Caenorhabditis elegans: one gene and its partners. The protein of the gene in region 1 interacts with the protein of each later gene in a pairwise test. Each region holds a gene or a part of one and is shown on either strand. Other genes may lie near its edges.

Region 1 (9,441 bases):
GGGGTAAACAATTAAGGAAGGGACCACCTCAGGTGGGGGCACATCATTGAAATCGTTTCCGTTTTTATTAGTACAGAGGACAATAACCTTCTTGACCACGCCTCGAGTTTTCCCCCCTGTTGTGAGATTATGGGGTTTATTCAGTTTTATATCCTCTCTTTAAGGACTCTTAGCCCAGGAGCATTGCACGATAGATTATTACAGTGCTCAGTTTATTCTTAGAAACTCTAAATTAATAACTCACTGAATGAACTCTCCGGTGCCTGCACAGATTTGAGAATTGTGTGTAGGACTTTGGACACAAATGACACCGAAACGGCTTTAAGGAGCAATGAATATGAGAGTGTTGTTTGAGACCGCTGAAAAAAATTGATTGATAACACGTGATAGTGAATGTGAATGACTGTTAAGTTTTGATTCGGAGAAGTTATATAGCAGTACACCCTCTATTAGTATTGTACCCAATTGTCCATGTTTCATATCTGATTATATTAGTGAAAATAAATCAGCACAATCAGCAGGTATTTTGTCCAGCGAACCTGCCTAAGTGCCTTCAGGGTTCCCTGTGCCTGCCTTCTGCCAACATGCGAGCCAACTATCAAAGTACATGTGAACGTTTTCTAAATATTGTTTTTTTTAACTTCTAACAAATAGAAATGCATGAGTTTATATTGCGCAAATACAGTATAAATAAAACGAAAGGCAGGTAGGCAGGCAGGCAGATAGCCATTATATAAGTCCAGTCCTGTGAAGATGCTCCATCTATTCTAGCCCAAGATAAATAAATAATAAATAAAAACTTCAATTGTAATGCACTGAACTTTCAACTCCGCTCAAGTTTTGGTCGTTACTTATCTTAAAATTTTCTTGTTGGCTGTAAGAATCCTAATTAACTTTGCCCGGTTTCCATACATCTCTATTATAAAAACCAAAATTCTATAAAAGGACTCTGTAAACGGGTTCTCATATCTTAGGAAATGCAAGACAAAGAAAATATATATTATGAAGAAGCCACTTCTCCAGAATATCTTCATTTCCTCCCTGGATCCAATTTCCTGAGTCTCTGGAGCACTGGTTTCAAGCATTCTACCTGAGCATAGAAGAGCTTCTCCTTCCACTTCTTCAAGAGGAAGGCGGGAAAATGATGAGCAAATAGAGGGCTCCGTGTCTCTATGCCACAAATGATCCTCCCTCTAATGGAATAGAGAAGGGTGACTACGGTATGAAAACATACAAACAGAGACGCATAAATAGACAAAACACTTTCAAACACCTGCTAAAATACAACAGTTGAGAGAGTGCATTAGCATGATATACCTTGCCAATAACTTTTCCGACTTTTTTTTTCAACGAACTCACCTTGCACTTGAAAAACTCTTTGGACAAACTCCACACTTGTGTGATCCGTCGGGAGGCGTTTGACCAGGTACAAGTTCGCCGTGTTCTCGAATATACTCCTCGAAACCGTTTAGATTGCTGTCTTCACTGCTGCTCTTTGTGCAGCTTTGAGTACTGTCCGGCCTGAAAATGGTTGATTTTCGAAAGGTTAAAAAACAGTGCCTCAAAAAATATAATACGTTTTTAATACTATCATATAGCAAAACCGTATAACACAATTAGTTTGGCTACTCGCTTTTTAAGTTAGGCAGTTTTGGAATCTTGGATGTTATTGGCTTTATCAAAAAATGTAAACACGCATGAAGTTATGTTTTTTTGAATATTCCGTAGTTTCAATTTTTGTTCTTAAAATTTACAGAACTCTTTTTTAATGTGGTGAATAATGAAAGTTCATGACTAAAATAAAAATATGTTTTCATTTTAATTTTTAGCTTTTTCATAAACTTGATAGTTGAATTTTGTGTTATTCTTTCTAGTGTAAAGTGCAATGTCTAGATAGTTTGATACGAATAACGATTTAGAAAAATCTATTAAATATTAAAATTAACCCAAACTTTTCAAATCTAATCGGGCAAGTTCAAGGTCTAACGTAAAAATTGAAACCTAAACTTTTGGGATACCAAGGAATCATCGTCTAAAAATTTAAGAAACATAGAAAAGATGGTAATAACACAAATTAAGTTAGCGATATAAAGATTTCGGAAAAAAAGATAAAAATTTATATTTTCCGCAAAAAAAACGATTGATTCTCAAAAAAGATGCAAAATCTAGATCCGCTTCCTTCCCCCGATGCACACCCCTCAAAATAAATCAACGATTTCCTTTGAGGGGCTCAAATACCCAAAAAAGGGCTCCTCCGGAAACCGACACGAATTTGTCATCCAGAAGCGGTAGAATCTATATGTAAATGAACGGGACACAAAAAAAGCGGGCGGGCTTCACTTGGAGATGCTGAAGGATGTGCTCTTATCGGAAATCCGTTACTTTCACCGCGCCAGTGAAAACTATCGAGAAAACGACGGGAGTTAGAAAGTAGGACGATGAGAAGAAAATGACAGAAGATTTTCATGAAGATTCACATCTTTCTTCCGTTACTTTTCCGTTAGAAATCGAGATTTATTTTCGAATATTCGCCTGTGTAAGACCGACAAAACCGGTTTGAAATTTTTTAACGCTGATCTCAACAACTCAAAAATTAAAGGTATACTCAATCTGCTTTTTAGAAATTGTTTTATGTGTAATTCAAACATCCTTCTATGTATAGCAACACAGAACTTCAAATCATAGAAAAAATTCCGGAAAATTACAGTTTTTGCAACTTGTTCAGTTATCGTTCCAATTTCAAAGGTGAGAAAAATCATACCTTTTTAGCATGCTCTTTTTCTTGTTTCTTTCAAGGGTCATACTCACCGATCTTCATCTTTTAACAAAATTAAATTCTCAAGATCATCCTGATCCTCCTCATCACACTCCTCTTCGGACAGTCTTTGTAGAAGAAGACGCTCTCCAATATTGATAATCTTACTGGTTTGTAGAAAAGTCTGAAATTTTTCTTATAGTTAGATAACTTCCTCATTAAATTTATCTAATAATCACCTTTCTATCCTCCTGCCTCATACAAATATTGGCATCTTCTCCGTCATCAGCTTCCTTAATCAGGTTCAAGATGAGAAGAGCATTCGAATCATTCGGTGTAGCCTAAAATAATAATATTTATAAAATTAATGTAAGTGATTGTTTTTAGTACTTTTTCTAAATGATGAGTGTAGAATCTAGGATCTACATAAATCGTAGTAAAAAAATGTATGCCTGCCTGAAAGGTGACCTTCGACGGCCTCGTGATAACATGGATTAAAGAAACGATTGGCACGCTGGGTAGGTTTCTCTATGACCGCTTGTAAGACAACGGTGATGTCTCTTCGGACTTAATTTTACAAAAAATGGACACGAATAGTTATAAAAAATTAAAGTTTCAAGAATCCCTGTATTTGGCGATGCGTTCTTCAAAACTGCATATCCAAATTTTAAGTTTTCACTTCATTTGATATATTGCGGACTGGAAAAAGATGACGTCACGCGCGTCACACCGTGTGACACCAGTTACAAGACTGCATTATTTTTCCTGCAATCTCTGTATATTTTCCCACAGATCTTCGCAGAAACAGTTTAGTACCTCAACAAGGGTTTTGTTGGGCGTACTGGGTTTCCTCCCTCAATTATTTCACAAATCGCACACATTCTAAACTCATTCTCGAAAAAATCTTATTTCATTTCGGCCAACTCACCACTCTCTGTGCTCCGTGAGCTTCAGCCCAAAAACCCATCAATATCTAATAAGAAGAAGCAGGAGCTGTCGCTCTCTCTATCGCTTCTGGAATCTAATTTTCCCACTGTGAGAGCAGGTGGTTTGCCTTCACCAAGCAACCATAAGCAATCAGTGGCTCTCTCGCAAAAGATGATGAACTTTTTCTTCAGTGGCTTCTGATTCTGAGTGACTGCCGCTTGATGTGGTGTGCGTGCGTGATAAGCCAATCAGTGTGAGAGACCCGTCGCCGGCTCTAGATGATAAACAACTGGGGGAAATACACTAATTCAATGATGGAATTGTGACGAAGTTGGATAACGACGACAGCTACAGTAGGAAATTGACGGCTTGATCAACGGATTCAATCCCTCTCCTTTATTGATAGAGCTCCTCAAATTCTTCTTCCTATGGAAACCTAGCAATTATCCATTTTCCCATCAGCGACTGTATTCATCAATTACAGTCGATCATCGAGTCTCTTTTCCCATCTCGGATCCCCCATCCACCAAGGCACCAGGTGTTCCGATTTGTAAATCCTAATGTAATGGTTACTAGTGTGCCCCCAAGGTTAACAAAGTGGTAATGGACGGGGGGAGCGGGAAAGGTGGAAAGACAGGTGTAAGGAATTTTTGAGGAGAAGAAGCAGGGAGGAACACATGGCGCCAAACATTTCAGGGTCCCGATAATTGCGGTTTTGGGTTCTGGGAAGAATTTGTAATTCGAACGTTGAATCATTAGGAAAGGATTTGAAAATGTTGGCGAAGGTACTGTAGATTAGGTAGATTAGGCACCAAGGTATCAATTTAAAATGCTTGTAAAAATATTTTAAAAAAAGTTTTGTTAATTTAAAAAAGTCATTATTTTATCAATTACAACCTAAAATTACTGTTATCATATAACTACTAACTAACAAAATATGAGTGTAACATCTGAAAGCTTATTTCATAGGTTACTCAAGCTATAAGATATTTCAGTTCAAGCGACCTGTATTTTTTCCGGTGGAGTTTTTTAGACGCCCGGGAATAAGCTTATACTTCTTTTTCTAGCGGACACCTCTAAGACAATGTCTACGGCGTAAAAATTGTACACCAAAAGCTCACCTTATCAATCACACCGATGGTCCTTCCGAGTGCAATTTGAGTTACTGCAATGAGCACATTTCCATGTAGCTCATCCTCCTTTACCTCAACACTCGTGAGGAAGTCTGTGTCGATGCTCATCCTGAAAACTTAGGAAACTGTACGTGGGAAGAAACAAGAACTGTACAAATTACAAGAACAGTTTTGGGGCGAAAGATGAGTAATACATCTTGTGAACGAGAACAATGCAACGAAAAAGTTGGATATGGCTGTTCAAGGCTGGCTTTGTCATTGAGAACGAACAGGGAGGAGGAATGGTACGGTAGATGTACGAATTTGGGATAGGAGTTAGGAGTAAGCTGAGAGATATTGGAGGGAGGTGTAGTTTGGGAAGAGATTATTATTTTATTGAATTTTTTAGTAGATGGTGAAAAAGTTTACAAGCCCAATTCATTTGGTAGATGAACTGTAGGAAATTCGTTTGAGATTTTTCATGACAAATTTGCTAGTCAGTTTTAAAATCAAGAAATTCTTAATTTAGAGATTATTTTTTGAGGGTTCTACACCACCACAATGTAGGATACAATTTTATTGAAAAATTGACATATGAGAAGATTGCTCTTCAAAATTTGACATTCTATATTTGATCCAAAAACTCGAATGTCTCTCCAGAAGTCATATATAGTAAAAACGTCAAGATACTTTAAGGATACTTCAACTAACCAGAAAAAAAAGAAAGGAAGATGGAAAGAGGCGCCTTCCATTTGTGGATGCGAGAGGAGCGAGAGCCTCTCCTGTCTCAAAAAGTGGGCGGGTGGAAGAGATGGAAGACGACACGCCCATCAGCCAATCGGTAGAGTGACAGGATGCTTCAGGTGAGGAGCATCTTCACTTGAAAAGTTGCAAGTTTCGAAAACCCCACGTTACTAAAGACTATTTTAATATAGAAAATTCTTAAAGTAGAATAGCAATTTTTATTTACTTTCTAACATATGTACTTCGATACTTAGAAAAATAAACAAAAGTGAAAATATCTACACCTACTAAATTAGAATCTATTGAGCATTTCTAGTAGAAGCCAAGCCGTTTATTTGTCGGCTGAATGTCTGTAATAAGTTTCCTGATATCATGAGGTGAAAGCAGAAGACAAACGTTTTTTCCAGGAGTAGGCTATCGCGAGACTCCATCGAGGTCGGCTGCGAGTTTACCGAACTGCTCAATAATCAAAGACCAACTTAAAAACTATAACAACTATTGACTTAGTTTGAATTTTTGGAAGTAAATTGCTGGACGGAAAATACAACAGGGTGTAGCAGTTTGCCGCAGCTTTGAAATTATACATTTGAGGACAGTCTAGAACCATCCAAAAAATCAGTGACCCCAGAGTTTCCAGTAAAAGCGAGCAAATGGGAGCTATTTTAAAGTAGAGGTGTGCCCCTCCACCAATTGTGGTCTTCTTCTGACGGATGTGCTGCGCTTTTCTTCTTCATGGTCCTCATCTTTTTGGAAGAAGGGACGGGACAAAATTGCCGCTTCTTTTCTTCTATTCTTTCCGTTTTTCTTCTCCTCATAGCTCCAGGTGAGCGCACCGAGAAGAGCTTTTATATAGGAGTAATAAAAGGTGGGCTCGTCCATTCTACAGAAAAATAGAAGAATGGAAAAGTTGTGAGGAAAATGGAAAAAAAGTTAGAGACATTCAAGTGATACAGTATTAAAAGTGTCATAAGTGTAGAAAGAAAACGGTCACATTTTGAAATGAAGAATTGTTGAACAAGAGTAAAATATTTCGAAAACCTTGAAAATTTAAAGTTATGGTGCTCATCACTTGACACATGATGTGCCATTAGAACTGATAATAATGATATGATAACAAAAAATGGAACTTTTTTTCTGAATCGGAGGCAAAAAAAACCTCGCGTAAGTGACAATTTCCCATCGAATGAGTGTTATCAGATAGTTTGGAAATTTTGTGAAGACGATTTTTCCAGAGAATTTTCCAAAAGGTAGGCTGCCTACTGTCTATTCTTTTGAATTTTAACGTGAAGTTCGGTGCTTGAAGTTCACAAAGTTACGCTTACCGTATTTTCCTTATTAGACGTGCACCCCCATCACCATATTTTGGCGGTTATTTTTTTAACTACTAAAATATAGTAATTTTGCATGTTTTTTGTTAGTTGACAATTTTTAAAGAAAACCAAAGACAACAGAGCTATTTGAAGTGGAAATAGATCTATATATTTGGTGGTATGCACACGCGAAGGCGGCATTTTTAAGCCTATTAATAGTAAAATCTAGAGGGTAGCAAAAAGGTAGGATGACGCATCAGATGACATTATTTACTGCCATCTACCCAAACCTAAAAGTCTCGAAGTCACTTTCACACTTGAAAGCATTTAGACGTCCATTTTACGGAGATTTTAAAGAGGCACCCAGTCGCTGCTCCGGAAGAAGAGGAAGAAGCAAAAGAGAGGCGTGGTTGCGAACCGATGGGAAAGGTAATGATGAGCTCAGTTGAGCATGAATATGAAGGAAAACGATGTAGAAAAAAGAAGAAGAAGAAGAAGCTGTGCTTTTCCCATGTGTGTCTGTCTCTGTAGTGGCAATCTGGATGGTGTAGGCTAACACAGAGGAGGAGCAGGTTTTGCTGCTCTCAGGCACTTGGAGTGAGGAAGGTGGACACTGAATAGGGGGAGAGGAGAAAAAAGGTGGAAGAGAACAATTCATCTCCAGGTACGGAATGGATTGATGAAACTGAGACAAATAAACAATGGTTTTGTGAAAAGTTGACTTTCAGGTTCTAATATGATGGGACAGTCTGAAAATAATTTTTTTTTTCAAATAGTTACCTACCGTATTTTCCAAAAAATACCTGCACCGCCTTAGTTCTATTTTGGCAGCGTATATCTCGGTTCTTTTTGCTTTTATAAAAAAGTGCCAATTAACAAAATACGTGCTAAATATTTTTCTACATTTGCATTTTTGAAATTTTTTGATAAACGCAAGACAACCGAGATATTAGCCTTTAAAGTCAGGCAGTAGAGGCGCACGTCTAATAGAGAAAATCCAGTAGATCAAGCATAATATGTGTTGCTCATCATTTGAACAAGAATTATAGATGAACCTACAGTACCCGTAAAGTACTTGAAATCGAAGCAGATGATAGCATTTGAGATGGAATCGAGGAAAGGCTGATTGAAAAATAGAATAAAGCAGAGAGGCGGCAGCTGATTTCATTATCTCGTGAGAGAGATTTTGATAAGAGATTCTGATAAGAGATTCTGAATCCTTAATGAGCTTTTGCGTTTTCAGATGAATTCCAAGTAATATCGAAAATACGAGGTAGGAAAAATGGGTGTCTATGAAATTGAAATAAACTTAATGTGAGCAAAAAGCAAATTTAGAAGATTTTCTAGGCATAGGTATCTGAATTATACCTCTCTGCGTTTTGCCTGCCTACGTGCCTGCCTACAGTCTATTTCTTAGATTTTGTCGTAAGCGTTGATGTGTGGTTCTAAAGCTCAAAGAACATCTTTGGAGGTAGGCATGAATTTTTTGCCCAAATGAAAGTTTAAAAGAAATCAAATAAAGATAGGTAGAAATCCAGAAATTGCAAAATCAAATAAATTGTTAACAACTTTACCAATGCTATCGTTTAATTCAAAATGCCTTGTGACAATTCTGTTTTGATGGCGACGGCAGATAAATAATAGAAAAATGAATCTCGAGATGATTCTGAACATAAAATTGTAGCGATAAAGAAGGGATGGAAGAATCCCCGTTTAATTTGGAGTCAAAAATAGAGAAGAGAATATCCATGAAGTAGTTATTGACTATATATTGACTTTGCTTCCTCCTTTTTCCGAATATTTTAAACAAATGCGAAAACGCACTCAGAAGTGTTTAAGTGGGATCAAAATCAGCAGGTGTTAACGGGTTCGAATTGCGGGTTAAGAATCAAACAGCATGTTGAGGATAGGTAAATAAAGTCGAGAATTTGGTGGATTAGGTAAGTTTCAGAGAAGATTTTTTATTTGATAATCTGAATTGTCTATAAACTTTTACGAGCTTTTATATGTGGGAAAGGCTAAGTAAAAATCAAAATATAAATTTTAATACCTATCTTAAATGATTATAAGAATTAAATTTTTTTCTTGAAGTTGTTTTAAGATAATCAATCAAACTTAGGTAACAATTTTAAAATATAAAATACCCTAAAGAATGTTTCTACAAAATTATGCGCAAAAAAACCTCTAGAAAATTCTATAGCAGTCATTGACGCAGAAAACATTCATTTAAAAAAAAATCAAATACACAATGTGTTCATGATATGAATGGCACTGGGATACCTGAGGATATCAGGAGGCATCATTCTCCATCTCGACAAACACCATCCACAAAAACACACAAAAAGGTTATATCAGCGGCACCGAGAATTTTTTGACAGCTAATTGGAGACGGTCACAAATAGATCAACGCGCGATGCGAATAGATTTCTGGTTGGAAGAGAAAATAGCGAGAGTGCACAGATGCCAATGTCCTGGATGAGCCCGATGGACCGGAGCAAGAAAGCATGATGACGGTTTTTTGAGTCAATTTGATCAGGAGGAGCATCCGATTCAAAGAACATGAGAAATAATACAATGTTAATTAAGTAGTAGA
Region 2 (7,887 bases), on another chromosome or scaffold:
TTGAAAATTGAAAAAAAAAATTAAAGGTGGTGGTGGAGTAGCGAAAAAAAGTTCATATTCGGCTAGTCTCCTCACAATTAACACAGCTCTAGCTACAACAAGCACTACCCCATCAACATCAACAACCACCTCCACAACTAGTACTACAGCTAGCACAACCACAACGACGACAACTACAACTACCACAACAACAACTACACCATCAACAACTACAACAACTGTGTTAACTGAACCACCATTCCGTAAGAACAAAATTTAAAGCGAAAATCTTAAAGAGTTTGATTTCAGCATGCACAACGTGCCCGAAGGTGTACGATACAGCTTGCCAAGGCTTTGGAATACCAAGTTTAATTGATTGGTGCCCTCAAGCGGCTGAAGTCGGAGTCAACTATTTTCTTGGCCTTGTTGCTGCTCTTCCATTCTTACCAGCAGATTCTTGCTCGTATGTGACCTGACACACATTCTATATCATATTTCTTTCATTCAGGACCACTATCGTTTGTCCGCCCGGCACAACTCCCAGAGTCAATCTATTCGGTTCGTCAATTCCTGCTCCAACTCCCGCAACTCTTGCATACTGTAGACAAACTGGTCCTGACGCAGGCACATGGTTTACAGGCGTTCCACCATTTGAGATTGAACTTACTTCATTGACGTGCCAATCAGTAGTGTCAGGATAATAAAAAATCGTATTTTAAATGCTAATAAAACTTATATCAATATTACTAATTATAATAACAATCATACCAAGTTAATAAATATTTATTTTTACAGATCTAACTTCAAAAAAGCAATAAAAAAAAGTAGTAAGAACATTTCCTTTTTTTTTGAAAAATTTTGAAATGTCCGAATGGCTCATCAAATATTCTTAGAGTATAGTTTCACAAACTACCAAATTTCATAAAAAAATTTCTACAATTTCTGTTGAGAGTTTAAAAAAAATTGGCGGTAATGTCAGGAAGTTTGCAGAAGCTTGGATAAATGGAAACCATTAGAAACTTTTCAGAAATATTATTTATATTTGTGATTTGAGCCAATACTTTTACTACTTTTTAATCTCTGTGTACGTTACTAGTTTGTTGAAAAAAAGCAATAATTTTTTGTTTATTACATTTAACCATTTTTTTTTTCTGCAAAAAAGTTCTAGAGTTTTAGAACTTTTGAGCATAAAAATATTCTTAACGTTTTATTCTAATTATGTACTTTCAGGCATAATTTTCAGAATTTCGGAAACGTATAACATTTCAAGTTTTTGAACACATGTTTTCTAAAGAACATACAAGTTAATTGAATTGATGCATATAAAAGGTGCACAAACACACTAAGAAACAATTGTATGTCATCATGCTTTTGATACATAAAGTTGAAGAGAAAGGTAAAGTACAGTAAACAATGTGTTCTTCCCATTGTATAGTTTTTCAAGTTTATCTGTTCTTTTGTACCATTAGCCGACATATCGGTCATTTATCGGCAAGCGTTATAAAAGGGCGAGATGACACATATTCACTTATCATTCTCTGACTTTTAGCTTTCTGAACTGTTCTTCAATGCATTTTCAAAGATCGATCACAGTTTGTGTTTTACTCAAATACACTCTTGCATGCATACCTACACAGCAAGTGGATTGTAAGTTATTTTTGCTCGAAAGTTTGAAGTTTGTTTGGGTAGCATTTAATATTTTTGAATATTAATTTAATTACTACAGCAAATTCTCCTGGTGGAACAGGTGGAACAGGTGGAACAGGTGGAAATGGGGTCACCACAACTTCAGCGTTAAGCACAACAACAGCTTCCACTACCACCACCACTACAACCATTGCTACAACTACCACGACAGTTACTGAAGAACCATTTCGTGAGTATTTTTATTTGAAAATTGGTAGAAACATCAAATTAACGGTGGAATATATCTACAGCGTGAAAAATATTAAAGTATAGTGCTAAAATGGCCACACAACATAGTTTGAAATTTCTTAAATTGTTTCTTAAGCATGCACCGTTTGCCAGAAAGCTTATGATACAAGTTGCAAAGGGTTTGGTATTCCAAATTTGTTACAATGGTGTCCCACAGCTGCAGAACTTGGAATTAAATACATTGTTGGCTTGCTCCCCCTTTTCCCTTTTTTACCGTCAGATACTTGCTCGTAAGTCGGATGGTTTATTTTCTCAATTATTATCTTTTAATTTTCAGCACAGTAGTAATCTGTCCATTGGGGACTACTGTTTTCTACTCATTTCTAGGCCTCGAGACTCCAGGGGTTTCCCCAATTATTGCTTGGTGCAAACAGTCAGGGCCGGATGCTGGAAATTGGTTCACAGGGACTGAATTTTTAAAGTTTCAATTGGTTTCTTTAGTCTGTCGCCCAATTATAAGTGGTTAAATAAGTTTACGACTAATATTGAATTCCTTAGATTTCACTTATTTTAGTGCTGATAATAATTAACTTTTGAATAAATTGTTTTCAATACAGGAGAAAACAAATGTGGTTCACAAATACCATGAAATTTTCCAGAGAAGTTGATGAAGAAGTGGCGTAATGAAATGATCGCATATTGTAGTGAAATATATTAAGATTGGTTAGTTTTTTCTTCAATCAGAAAGTGACGATTACTATTGAGTAATCGTCATTATTCTGGAAATCGGCAAAAAACCAGTTTTTCCACAAGTTTTTTTTTTGAAGAATCAGAAACATTTCAGAGGGTTTTGTTCAGATATTTATCTTTTTGTGTCATTTTAAGACAAAATCCTCATTTTTGATACTCCTTTAAGAATGCATTTGTTTTACCGTTTTTTAAATATTAAGTTTTGAATTTTTACACTTGCTGGGTTGAGCACATATATCTTCCGGAAACTTTATAAAATCATTCACAAGTGGTTTCATTTTGCAAACTGAATAAATTGGAAAGAGTTAGCATTAAAAGTTTCGCACTTTCCGCATTGAATTGATCCTCGGATTCATAATTGTTTTCCGAAGCATTTTTGTTAGCATTGATGATCATGTTCAGAGTGTTTGAAAGAGCCTGATCTGGGAACAAATTGACGCTTTTAGTTCCAATTTTAGGTGCCATTTCAATTGAAACAAGAGTATCATTAGATAGGTTTGAAGGGCCTAAATTTATAAACCAGGTGAATACGTGTAATTGTAAAAATGTGATATTTACCTGGAGATGATGCACTTGTCAAAGTAGTGCAATCCTGAGTTTTTTCTTTTTCACCTGTAGGATTTTTAGTGATTGAAGGTGGCTCGTATGGATGGCCAGTTTGTTTCTGCTCTCGACGATACTTTGCACGACGATTTTGAAACCAAATCTAAAAATTATTTATATAACTTCACGCCTTCCAAAAGTATCGAAACTCACTTGAACTCGCTCCTCGTGAAGTTGAATTTTGTTTGCCAATTTTTCTCGGCTCATAGTGTCCGGATACTGATTTTCTGCAAACACCTTTTCCATCTCATCGATTTGATTTGCATCAAACGTTATTCGGTTCCGTTTCTTTCTGTCAGGATTGAAGTTATTCGATCGTTTTCGCGTGATCTTTTTTGTAGTTTCAAATTGGGTGTCATTAAATTGAATTTTGCACAAAATGTCTTGCAGTGAAGGCGAAATTAAACTCTGAAATGCAAAATGTTTAGTTTTGTCTAAGGCCAGGGGGGAAATGACTAAAAACCATTCAGTTAGGCACTAAAATGCCCAAATATCATTTAAAAAAATTCAAAAATGATTGGAAAATGTTTTATTTTGAGTCAAAAAGGGGTGACCGAAATTGTAGGGATTCAAAAAAGCGACAGTGCTTCAGATTTCGCGACAAAATGCACTGACCCAGTTTTCCCCACTTTTTGAGTCGAAATAAAACATTTCCAAAATTTTTGTCTAAAATATTTGCATGAAGTTTAGTCCTTTTTCCACTCGGTAGGCGTATGCGCACATACCGCGCACTTTCCGAGCGGTTTAATACATTTGTTTTTAATCCGCTCGGAATGTGCGCGGAATCTGCTCAGAATGTGCGCGGAATGTGCGCATAATGCAGGGCAGTTAAAAAATGAGGAACACCAAAACGCAATGTGCGCGGAATGTGCTCATGATGCAGAGTGGTGGTGTTTCACTGCCTTTCGCTTGCAGTGTATTTTGATTGCCAGTGTCCTTGCTGCGAATTGAACCTGTGATGTTTTCCCTGAAAGTCTGAAGTCTTACCTGTTGAGACATAACGCATGCGATGTTAATAGCAGTTAACGCGCCATAAATATAAGCAAATGAGAAAGTCAATGGAGAAACATAGAACTAACGATAAAGCATTTTTGGCACAGTAATTCAATAATAAAGGATTTCTCATTGGCTTTTGAACTTGTTTTTCAATCACATATTTATGGAAAAATGTGAATTAAGTATTTTTCCGTTTTTAAGCGTTAATGTGATTATTTTACTAGAGAGAAATCATGTCAGCGCATTTTTATACTTTCATGGTAATTTAGAAGTCTCTAATTAAGTGAACTTTTTGTTCTAGAATTCTTTCCAGAGATTCACAGATAATTCAGTTTTACAACAGCTACATGACAATTGATTTTTCAATCAGGTCAAAAAGAGACTTTGTGTGATTGTAAAACTTCACAACCTCTTCAATTTGACTCCTGGGAAAACATTTGAACGCTTTCTTCTCCAGTATACATTTTCCCCCTAACTATAATAGTAAGCACATATCTAGATATATAGTTTTTAATTTGAATCACAATTTTGACTTTTAAAATGTGGGACATTATGCAGTTGTAAATCAATAACGATAGACGGCGTATATTTACAACCTGTTAACCCAAATATAATATTTCTGAAAACATATTTCAACTCTACAGTGACGTTGTTGGTATTTTACAACTATTTCTGTCGAGAATGTGCATCATTTCAAAACGAACTATGAATGTTTCACAACGTTATTGATGAATTTTTGGTTGGAAACAATACGCGGATTTGTTTTTGAATGAGAACTATTAAAACCATTTCTCTTGGCTCTAATTTTCAAATATCAGAAATACTATTAAATATAGACTCGGACATAAAATTTAAACAATGCTATAATAATTTAGAAAGCAGAAATTGAGCATTAGTTGTAGATTATCTAAGTCAATGTGCGCAGAATCGGCGCGGAAGTTGCGCGGAATATGCGCAAAAGACTAATGGTGGGGAAAATGGCCACATCGAAGGCAATGTGCACTGAATGTGCGCGGAAAGTGCGCTGAATGTGCTCAGAATGCATGATTTCTGGATGAAAAAACACACCAAAACCAATGTGCCCAGAATCTGCGCGGAAAGTGCTCAAACGGCTAGCGGTGGAGAAAATGGCCACGCCAAGGGCAATGTGCGCTGAATGTGCGCGGAAAGTGCGCGGAATGTGCGCATACGCCTACCGAGCATTATAGAAATGAGTTTTCATAATTTCCCCGCAGACTATACTTGACCTTTAAAATTATTGATAAAGGTGTGAGAACGTACCTTAAGTTGCTCCATTTGTAAAATTTTGATTTTCAAATATTAATAGAAGAACAAACTGAAAATTATTAGATTTTTAGCAAATAGATAAAATTACAAATTTCATTAAAAAGTTAATCCTCCAAAAAAACCAAAAAGATCGCCTTAAGTCTATTACGTACAAATTTACATACAATAAAATGTCAACTAAAAGTCAGAAAAATATAGGCTTATAGTGGGATTACGGGATCAATAATGTTATTTCAAGGTGTAATGGCGTCAACGGCGTATCCTGTGTTATGTAATCTCCCTATCACCAATAGTATAGATAATGCGCTTATTCAAAGTGAGCGGAAACTTTCTGTTTCCGGAACAGCAAAAACACACGAAAAGAGTGAGCATCGGAAGTAGTTGTCGAGATATTATGAAATTCTAATCTGTTTTAATAAAGAGATGCTGATATATATTGTACAAAATCAAATGATTATTCAAAAACATTTTCATTTAAAAACAAAATTTTCAAAAAACACTGGAAATCTTATACTTTTAAAAAATGGCAAAAATTCATCAGTATATAATACCAATCTGGTTTGCTCAAGAATCTGGCTGAAAATTATACTGAAACCAGAAGATATCATGCAAATCTCAGAGCATATAGAGAAACAAAAAGGGGTAATTTGTACTAATAGTGGCACGAGGCAAGTAGTTTCTAACCTGAATTCACTCTGTGACAGGTGTGATCAGAACTAGGACGTGTTCGTAATAATGTAGTCAAAAAATTCGAAATATTATATTTTCATACTAAAGCTATAGTTTGACGACAACGACTTTCGGATGTTCATTGTCTCGCGCTTACTGCAGATTAAATTACAAAGGTTATAAGATCTGTGAAAAAAGAGGAAAGAGAACACGGATGTTTCCATTTTAGTCTTCATAATGGTTTTCCCGCAGTAAATGTCAATCCGATGAACCTTGACGATTAGCATAATCTCCACGCTGATGAGCAGAGTAATGATTTATGAAAGTGGATGAATATGCTTATTAGATTTCAAGTTGAGCATATACGAGCAAGAGCTTGATGGAATTAGGCTATTGCGGGAAAACAGGAAATAGTCCTTTAGTTTCTGGTGAAACCAAGCGCCCATTAGAAAATTCTATGAACAGAAGTGAAGCCATTGATAATGTGGCCTATTAAAAGTATTCCCTGAAATTAATTATTTACCGCCAGAAAAACTAAAATACTTATTTATGTTGCACAACAAAATAAGTATTGCGTTGTCTTATTCAAAATAACTCTGACAAATGAGAAATAAAAAATTGATACTAAAATAGTTTTTTTTTCAAAATCTGAAAATCAAAATGTATAACATTTAAAATCAGATTTTAAAAGCACAGAATAAGCGTTCAATTAAGAATATTTTTAACGAAATGGTAGAGTTGCAAGCTTTTTTATTGCACTACATAATTCAAACAGACTTTGAGATATTAAATTTCACATTATAGATTTTAACATAATTTTTAGAGTTATTTCAAGATTAATTTTCAGTGGAAAAAATTGAAGACGCGTGAAAATTTTTTTGAATTTTTGGTTTCAGAAAAATAAAAAAGTGGTAAGGATTGCTAAAATCATCTATTTTGTCATACTCTGCCGGAAATTGATTTTTATTTAATCACATTCCTTTTCCGGTTTGAAATATGAAAATTATTGGCTGAAAATGTATCAAGTTCATCAAGAAGGCAAATAACCAAAAGTATGCAAGACAGTGGTGTAATCGAAGTATTTTTTTCCGAAATCGAAGAAAAGCTGTTTCAATTTTTTTTTAACTCAAAATTCTAAAAATTATTTGGAGTTTTTTTTGCAAAGCTATTTATATTTGAAAACATAAAAACGTTATTAAATGCCGAAAAGAACGTCATTCACAAACCAAAAAAAATCAGTTACGTTTAAAATTAATATTTTTCATGTTGTTTATAAAATAATGTTTCAGTTTTGACAATTGGGAATGTACTTATTTGAAATATTGTGTTTTAAAAAAATAACATGTATTAAACAAATAAATAATTGGCCTCCAGTTTTGGGTGTTTCAGAGCAGCGTAAACAACGATACGTATAGATAGTTTGTAGTTTGTTAAGTTCTGGTTATCAACGTCATTTATTTGAATATAATCCAATTTAAAAGTTGTAGTTTTCATCTGAAACTTCAATATGAACTTCCCCGACAGATATTCGAATGCATCAAGTGTGAATTTTGAAAATAGGTAACCTGAAATGTTTTTCAGACAAATGCATTATTTTTATAATAAATAAATTAGATGAATATTTGTTAAATCACAATAAAGTTACTTTTGGAAACGCATTGAGTTCTAGAATAATATCATATTGCAAAAGTTTGCAAGGGAATCTATTATTTCTTAGAAATAACTTTT
Region 3 (6,473 bases), on another chromosome or scaffold:
AAGTTAGGCAAAACTTTTGCAAAACTTGGATTTAGGCTTTACCAAAGTTTAACCCAAGTTTCACCCAACTCTTGCCAAACTTTGGCCCAAGTTTGAGACGAAACAAGAAAAGTTTGGGCCAAAGTTTGTCAAGAGTTGGTTGAAACTTGGGTTAAATTTGGTGCAGCCTAAATCCAGGTTTTGCCTAAGTTTAGCTAGCTTCTAATCCAAGTTACTATTTTTTGGGCCAACTTTGGGCAAGAAGCTAGAGCCAAATGCCGAGATAATAAGCTCCGCCCACATAATGGCTCAGCTTTTCAGGGAGCATGGCCTTCATACTCGGTGTGACTATTCTCTTGTCACTGCCCACGCAAACTTGCTGGAAGACATGGAGAAGCTGGAAATTGAGTCCGATGGAGTTTTAGTAGAGGTTAAGAATATTTATTATATATAATTTCAGTACAACAAGTTATAGGTACCAGTAAAACGTCCGAAATATTCAGCGCCAAAACCAGTGGTTTTCTGTATAGCCCCACAATTTGCTGCAGAGCAGTGGCAGACTTTTCTGGTGCAGCTGCATGTTTCGAAGCGGTTACACTAGAATTGCAAATTTTTATGTCAAAAATCAAATTTTCAGATACGGAGCTCATCTACAACTGTACGTGGTATCTATGGTAGAGTCCTACTTCAACTTGCTCAAGGAACATGAAAAGCTGGGGCTTGTATCCATTGAACCTTGGCTCACAATTAAGTTCTCTACCACAGATGAACCATATTTGGAGCCAAATCGTAACGTGGAGCTCAGAAATCAGGCGGCTGCGCACACTGATTGTATTCTCATGTATAAGGAGGCTGTAAGCTTTATTGGAGTTCTTGACATGGATGATATACTTATTCCAACAAATGCCAACTCTTACTACGAGGAGTTCGAGAGAGAATATGCCGGAAGCTGGGAGATTAGTGCACTTCACTATGACAAATTTGACTATAAAACTATAAAAACTTCGGTACTGGACTCTAAGAAGACTCTAAACATAAGTTCAATGATTAAAAATTCAAAACGACTGAAAACAAAAGACGAAGGAAAGTCGTTCTTCCGCCCGGAGAGATTGAATTCTACGTGGTCTCATTATTCACTTAACTCGGATGATCGTCCAATTTATTTGACAAAAAAGCAGAGGAAACCTATTTATCGAAAAATGAAGTACATATATAATAATGGAATATTTCATTTGAAACACATGGTTTTCGTAAACTCAAGTAATGTTCGGGAAGGAGTTATACCGATTAATCCAGGAGATAATATTACTGAGTTGATTAGTGAAAGACATTTGAAGGAGATCGATGAGGATTTTTTGAGGTTTGAATTTTTAGACCTATTACTTCTTACACGTGGTGCCAGGCTGTCCCATCACGGTTTGATCTACAAAAAATGCGGGAAATTTTTGCCCAAAAATGAGACGTCAGCACGTTCTTAACCATGCGAAAGCAGTTGAAAACTCTGCCGCAATTTTTGTAGAGCTAAGTAGATCAAGCCAAAATGAGACACTCTGGCACCACGTGTTATTATGGTTGTGTCGATTTACGGGCTGCCGGCTCGATTTACGAAATGAAATCATTTATTTTTGGAATATTAAAGTTATGCAAAAGATTGAGAAAATAATACGAAGAACGAGCCCGTAAATCGACAACAGCGATACAGTATTCATTTAAATAATTACTGTAGTTTTCGCTTCGAGATATTTTGCTCGTCAAATATGTTGCGCAATACGCATTCTCAGAATTCAGTGTTCCTGTAATAATATGAGCACGCAAGATAATGTGCTCAGCCTCATAATTTGGGTCTCGTTGGGTATTAGCGGCAGAATCGTAAGTGCAAACATTTTCAGCCAATTTTTACGTGTATTCATGCATTTTTAAAAAATAATTTTTGATAATTTTCAAACCTAAATTGGTGAAAAAAATTCAAATTAGATATTCATTTTTTCGACATACCTAGTTCACGGGGCCTTCCTCGTTGAATTTTTCGCGCTCCATTGACAATCGCCTGCCGGACAACGCGTGGGAAAGTCGTTTACTCCACACGGACAAATACATTTAGTTTTACAACTAAAAACGAGCCGCGACGCGACACGCAACGCGCCGTAAATCAACCCCAGATATGGCCGAGTCAAAATGGCCTAGTTCGGAAAACTCTTCCATTTCAATTTATGAGGGAAGCCAGAAATCCGTGCTAATTCCGCCGCCAATACGTGACAAAACTCAAATCATTGTGAAAAAAATTTAGAAAAAAAACCACTTTTTATAAGCCATACGCGAGTTTTCGCAAATTTTAACAAAGAAAAACACGGTACCCGGTCTCGACACGACCAGTTTTTGTAAATGCGGTGTGCGCCTTTGAAGAGTACTGTATTTTCAAAAACTCTGGTTTTTTTATCGATATTTCATACCTTACGCAGCAACCCGAGTTTAAAGTTACAGTACTCATTAAAGGCACACACTTGCATTCAACAAAAATGTGTCGTGTCAGGACCGGGAACCACAATTTCAAAAGTTCAAATTTTAAAAAATTTCAGCACAATTTCCCAGCCAGAATTCACCAGCTTAACCTCCTCTCTGCCCAAAGATGATTTTTATACGAACATCGTATTCCAGTGCTATAATCAATCATTTTATCACATTCGAGACGCCGGCCTTCTTTCTGCAGAATCCACGTGTGTAAATGCTTTTGATTGTGAGCTTTCACAACGAGAAGCGATGCCGTGTACCCATTCAGATGCCACGTATCACTCCGGGCCGCCCATGTTTCCAATCACATTCCATTGGGCGAGTGATGCATTCTTTAGTGATGAGATTGGATGCTATCAGTAATTGGATCTTTTTTTTAATCAAAATAATGTATTAAAGCTTATCGAAAATTGAAAATGTAAATTAACATAACATGAAAATCAAAAAGTGAGCAGTGAGGTAGAACTATAAACATAATGAAGACACTCGAACATCAACGATTACTCAATTTCCGGCTTGATGCGCTTTTCTGGGATCATGGCTGGCTCGGCTGGCTGGATCTGAAAAATTATTTTTTGAAAATTTATCTTTAAAAAAAATGTTTTAATTAGCTACCTGCTGAGCTTTCTTGTAGCTCTGAAGCGCCGTCGCAAGAGCATTCGCACTTTCGATGATTATGACCCATGTGTCGACTTCAGTGATCTGCTGATCGGTGAAAAAATTTCTCTGTAGAATTGTGTCGACTGCATTGTTGAAGAATCTTTTGTACTCGAGAGCTTCTTCATTGGGCTCTGGCTCTGGCTCTGGCTCCAGCTTCAGCTCCAGCTCCGGTTGGGGCGATCCTGAAGCGTCGCGGGAAGATGAGGACGTTGTTGAATTGGAAGTCGACGGCGACAGAGACTTGTTCAAAAGACGATTAAGCTTGAAGCCGGCTCTTTGAATTGGCGATTTCAGCAGTGATCCCGGTGAATTGCCGGATTTCGCAATCGGGTTGGCGTCTCCTGGAGCTCCGGTTTCCTGTATGGCCTTTGCGTGTTCGGTGAGGGCTTTTTTGTTGGAAAACGTCCAGTTACAGCATCCGCAGGTGTATACTTGACCCAAGTAGTGCTCATTTCTCATGTGATCACGGACGGTCTCCTTCAGGTAGAGCTTACGGGCGCACAGCATGCAGGTGTACTCGTCGCTATGCACCAGTTTACGATGGCGGTTGAGAGAAGCGCCGTGCTTGAAGTTTTGGCCGCAGGACAAGCAGAGGAAATCGCCTGAAAAATGGAAAAATTAATGTTTTTTTTTAATTACAAAAAAAAATAAAATAAAACTCACCTCTGAGATCCGGCCGCTTAAGCTCGCTTTCTTCTTTGCGAAGCAGTGACGATTTTTCAGCGAATTCCGTTTCGAAGCGGTCGATAAGGGGCTTGTGATCGGAAGTATCCATGAAGCTGATTTTCTGAAAGAAGAGGACATTTTGAAGAAAAATTTTAGAATTTTACATCAATTTACACTCAAAATAATAAAACTGCGTTGCGTGTACGCCAAAATAGGCCCCGCCTTTTTCTCGTTCACTCACGGGGAAAAGGCAAAAAGCGGCTGGTGTAGCCAATATCAGCAGCCGACATCATTCGAGGTCCGCGCACCACACTATTTTTCTCACTGTTGGCGTGGCGAGCTGTCCCCCCCCTCCCATATTTTTGCCTTTTTCCCGTGAGTGGACGATTAAAAGGCGGGGCCTATTTGGTCGTACACGCAACGCAGTTTTATTATTTTGAGTGTAGAAGAAAAAAGAATTTTTTTACTGACCTACAAAATTTTTGCAAGGATAGTAGACTAAAAAAGCTTCTCACTAATCACATTAATCATATAATTAATAAATAATATTTTTAAACGAAAAAAATCTGTAAAATTAATTAATTCAGGGTCGACGTCGTTTAAAAGTGTTACTTCTTTGTTTCTACGCTTGTAAAGTAGGTTTTCAATCGATTATTTGAATTTATCTTAATTTTTTCTTTATATTTCAAAAAAAAAATACACTGAAAACATGAAAAATCGGTGAAAAATGAGTGAAAATAACAATAAATATTTAATTTTAAATAAAAATAAAAACGTGCAAGCGCGCTCCATCGAACGAATTCTCTTGGCGGTAATTCAAATTGCAGTTCGGGCAAAACTGAGATTTTTCCAATTTTCAAAAAGTCATATAAAATTTAGAAAAAAAAATTGAATTTTTTTACTATGATATTTGGCCATTGTGACACTATAGGCATGTTTTAAAGCAATTTTCCCACTGGCGCTACTTTGTGATTTGATTTATTTCGACATGAAAAAAAAGGAATACAAAACCGGTACAGTAAGTTACTGCAATTTCTTCATTTCAAGACCCATAAATATGCTCAGCCATATTAGCAACTTTATGCACCAGAAGCTTCTCCAGCTCCCTATCCAGCTCGGTTATAGTGAAGTTGTCGCCGTAAATCCAACCATTTCCGATACTATTTCTGACGGAGGTCATTCGGTAGTGTCTGAAAATGTCAGTGTCGATTTACGCGGCTCGTGTACTCCTCGAGGACAAGTGTGCGTTTTTTGGCAAAAATTTCCTGATTTTTGGCCATTTTCGGTAATTTTTTCTACAGAATTTCCGCCTAAAACACTAAAAAATTAGAAAATTCAGTCTAAAATGCTCACTATTTTCAAAAATAATACACAAAAATCGGCAAGAATTTCAGTAAAAATTCAAAAATCTCTGCAAAAAACAAATGCACACTTCTCCTCGAGAAGTACACGAGCTGCTGCTTGAATTTACATATGACCGTGTTATTATACACACGCGAAACTTTGTGATTTTTGAGCTAAAAATACGATATCTGGTCTCGACACGATAATTTGTATTTTCGAAGAGGTGTGCGCCTTTAAGGAGTACTGTACGTTGGTGGGCTCTTCATAGTTCTTCGATAAAAAATATTATTCTGCAGAAAACAATCGAAAGAAAATTCCACTGCAACAAAAGTTTGCAATTACAGTACCCATTAAAGGCACACACCTTTTAGTATTAAACAAAACATTTTCGTGTCGAGACCGAGTACCATATTTTGGTCCAAAAATCGCAAACTTTCACGTATGTGTAAAACCTACCTAAACCCGGCAGTCTCCCTGGGAACATTTTTCACGATAACGCCGGGATACTGTAGATGAGTGTGATGGTAGGTTTGTACGGCGACCATTTCCGGGCGGTATATACTTTTTGAAGATTCCCAGATTTGAGTTCTAGTAGTGTTCCGGAATTTCAGCGCCTCCAGGTTTTCGATGGTGTCTTGCAGATTGGTGAATTTCTGCGGTGAGTTTTCGGTTTTTTGAATCCGTCGCGCCTGAAATGGATTTCTGGCTTTTCTCTTAAATTGAAATGGAAGAGTTTGCCGAACTAGGCCATTTTGGCTCGGCCATATCTGGGGTAGATTTACGGCGCGTTGCGTGTCGCGTCGCGGCTCGATTTTTGTTGTAAAACTAATGGCATTTGTCCGTGTGGAGTACACGACACTTTCCCACGCGTTGTCCGGCAGGCGATTGTCAATGGAGCGCGAAAAATTCAATGAGGAAGGCCAGAACCCCGTGGCAAGATAGTCAAATTTTATTCGAAAAATTGCGCGCCGCAGATTTGCGGTTTGACTCCGCCCTCTAATTTTTGAATTTTTGCGCGCCATTTTCGTTGTGTCATATTCTACTAATATGTGAAAATTTTACCTGAAAATTCAGCTCCCCAACATTTGCATCCTGGGACCGAAGGAGTTGAATAAGGGTAGTTTCTGGCTGAAACATCACGAATCGCTCGTCAATATCTGCATTTATGACCCATCTTGAGATGTATTTGCTGCGATGGAAACAGTCCTAAAAAGGAAAAAAGTTGAGCATTTTCAAAAATCAAAAAAAAATTAATTCTTGGATCAGGGGTGGGCGGCAAATAATTTTCCCGGCAAATCGGCATATTGCCGGAATTG

Evidence for each region. The genes of interacting proteins can lie anywhere in the genome.
Region 2: the proteins of egl-43 (region 1) and ceh-54 interact in a two-hybrid assay, tested with the Caenorhabditis elegans proteins (one large-scale study listed by BioGRID).
Region 3: the proteins of egl-43 (region 1) and ztf-28 interact in a two-hybrid assay, tested with the Caenorhabditis elegans proteins (one large-scale study listed by BioGRID).

The regions. Positions count from the first base shown.
Region 1 is NC_003280.10:9,950,668-9,960,108, reverse strand, and holds the start of egl-43 (Zinc finger protein egl-43), read right to left. Parts: upstream 4,925-9,441; 5' UTR 4,924-4,924; coding exon 4,804-4,923; intron 3,099-4,803; exon of another isoform or gene 3,097-3,098; coding exon 2,995-3,096; intron 2,940-2,994; coding exon 2,809-2,939; exon of another isoform or gene 2,762-2,808; intron 1,522-2,761; coding exon 1,360-1,521; intron 360-1,359; coding exon 245-359; intron 1-244. UniProt on the Caenorhabditis elegans protein: Probable transcription factor, required for migration of the hermaphrodite-specific motor neurons (HSNs) from the tail to the gonad primordium during HSN cell differentiation. Required for phasmid neuron development.
Region 2 is NC_003284.9:6,188,743-6,196,629, forward strand, and holds ceh-54 (Homeobox domain-containing protein), read right to left. Parts: upstream 5,500-7,887; coding exon 5,485-5,499; intron 3,616-5,484; coding exon 3,361-3,615; intron 3,311-3,360; coding exon 3,163-3,310; intron 3,111-3,162; coding exon 2,863-3,110; downstream 1-2,862. Other genes in the region: T13C5.10 (DUF281 domain-containing protein), read left to right, coding at 150-242, 289-442, 488-680; T13C5.9 (DUF282 domain-containing protein), read left to right, coding at 1,548-1,626, 1,706-1,855, 1,991-2,144, 2,192-2,381.
Region 3 is NC_003283.11:2,088,130-2,094,602, reverse strand, and holds ztf-28 (C2H2-type domain-containing protein), read right to left. Parts: upstream 3,935-6,473; 5' UTR 3,923-3,934; coding exon 3,811-3,922; intron 3,750-3,810; coding exon 3,103-3,749; intron 3,048-3,102; coding exon 2,988-3,047; 3' UTR 2,863-2,987; downstream 1-2,862. Other genes in the region: gtnt-26 (Glycosyltransferase family 92 protein), read left to right, coding at 301-409, 455-570, 617-1,339, 2,556-2,850; gtnt-27 (Glycosyltransferase family 92 protein), read right to left, coding at 4,856-5,003, 5,614-5,846, 6,220-6,363.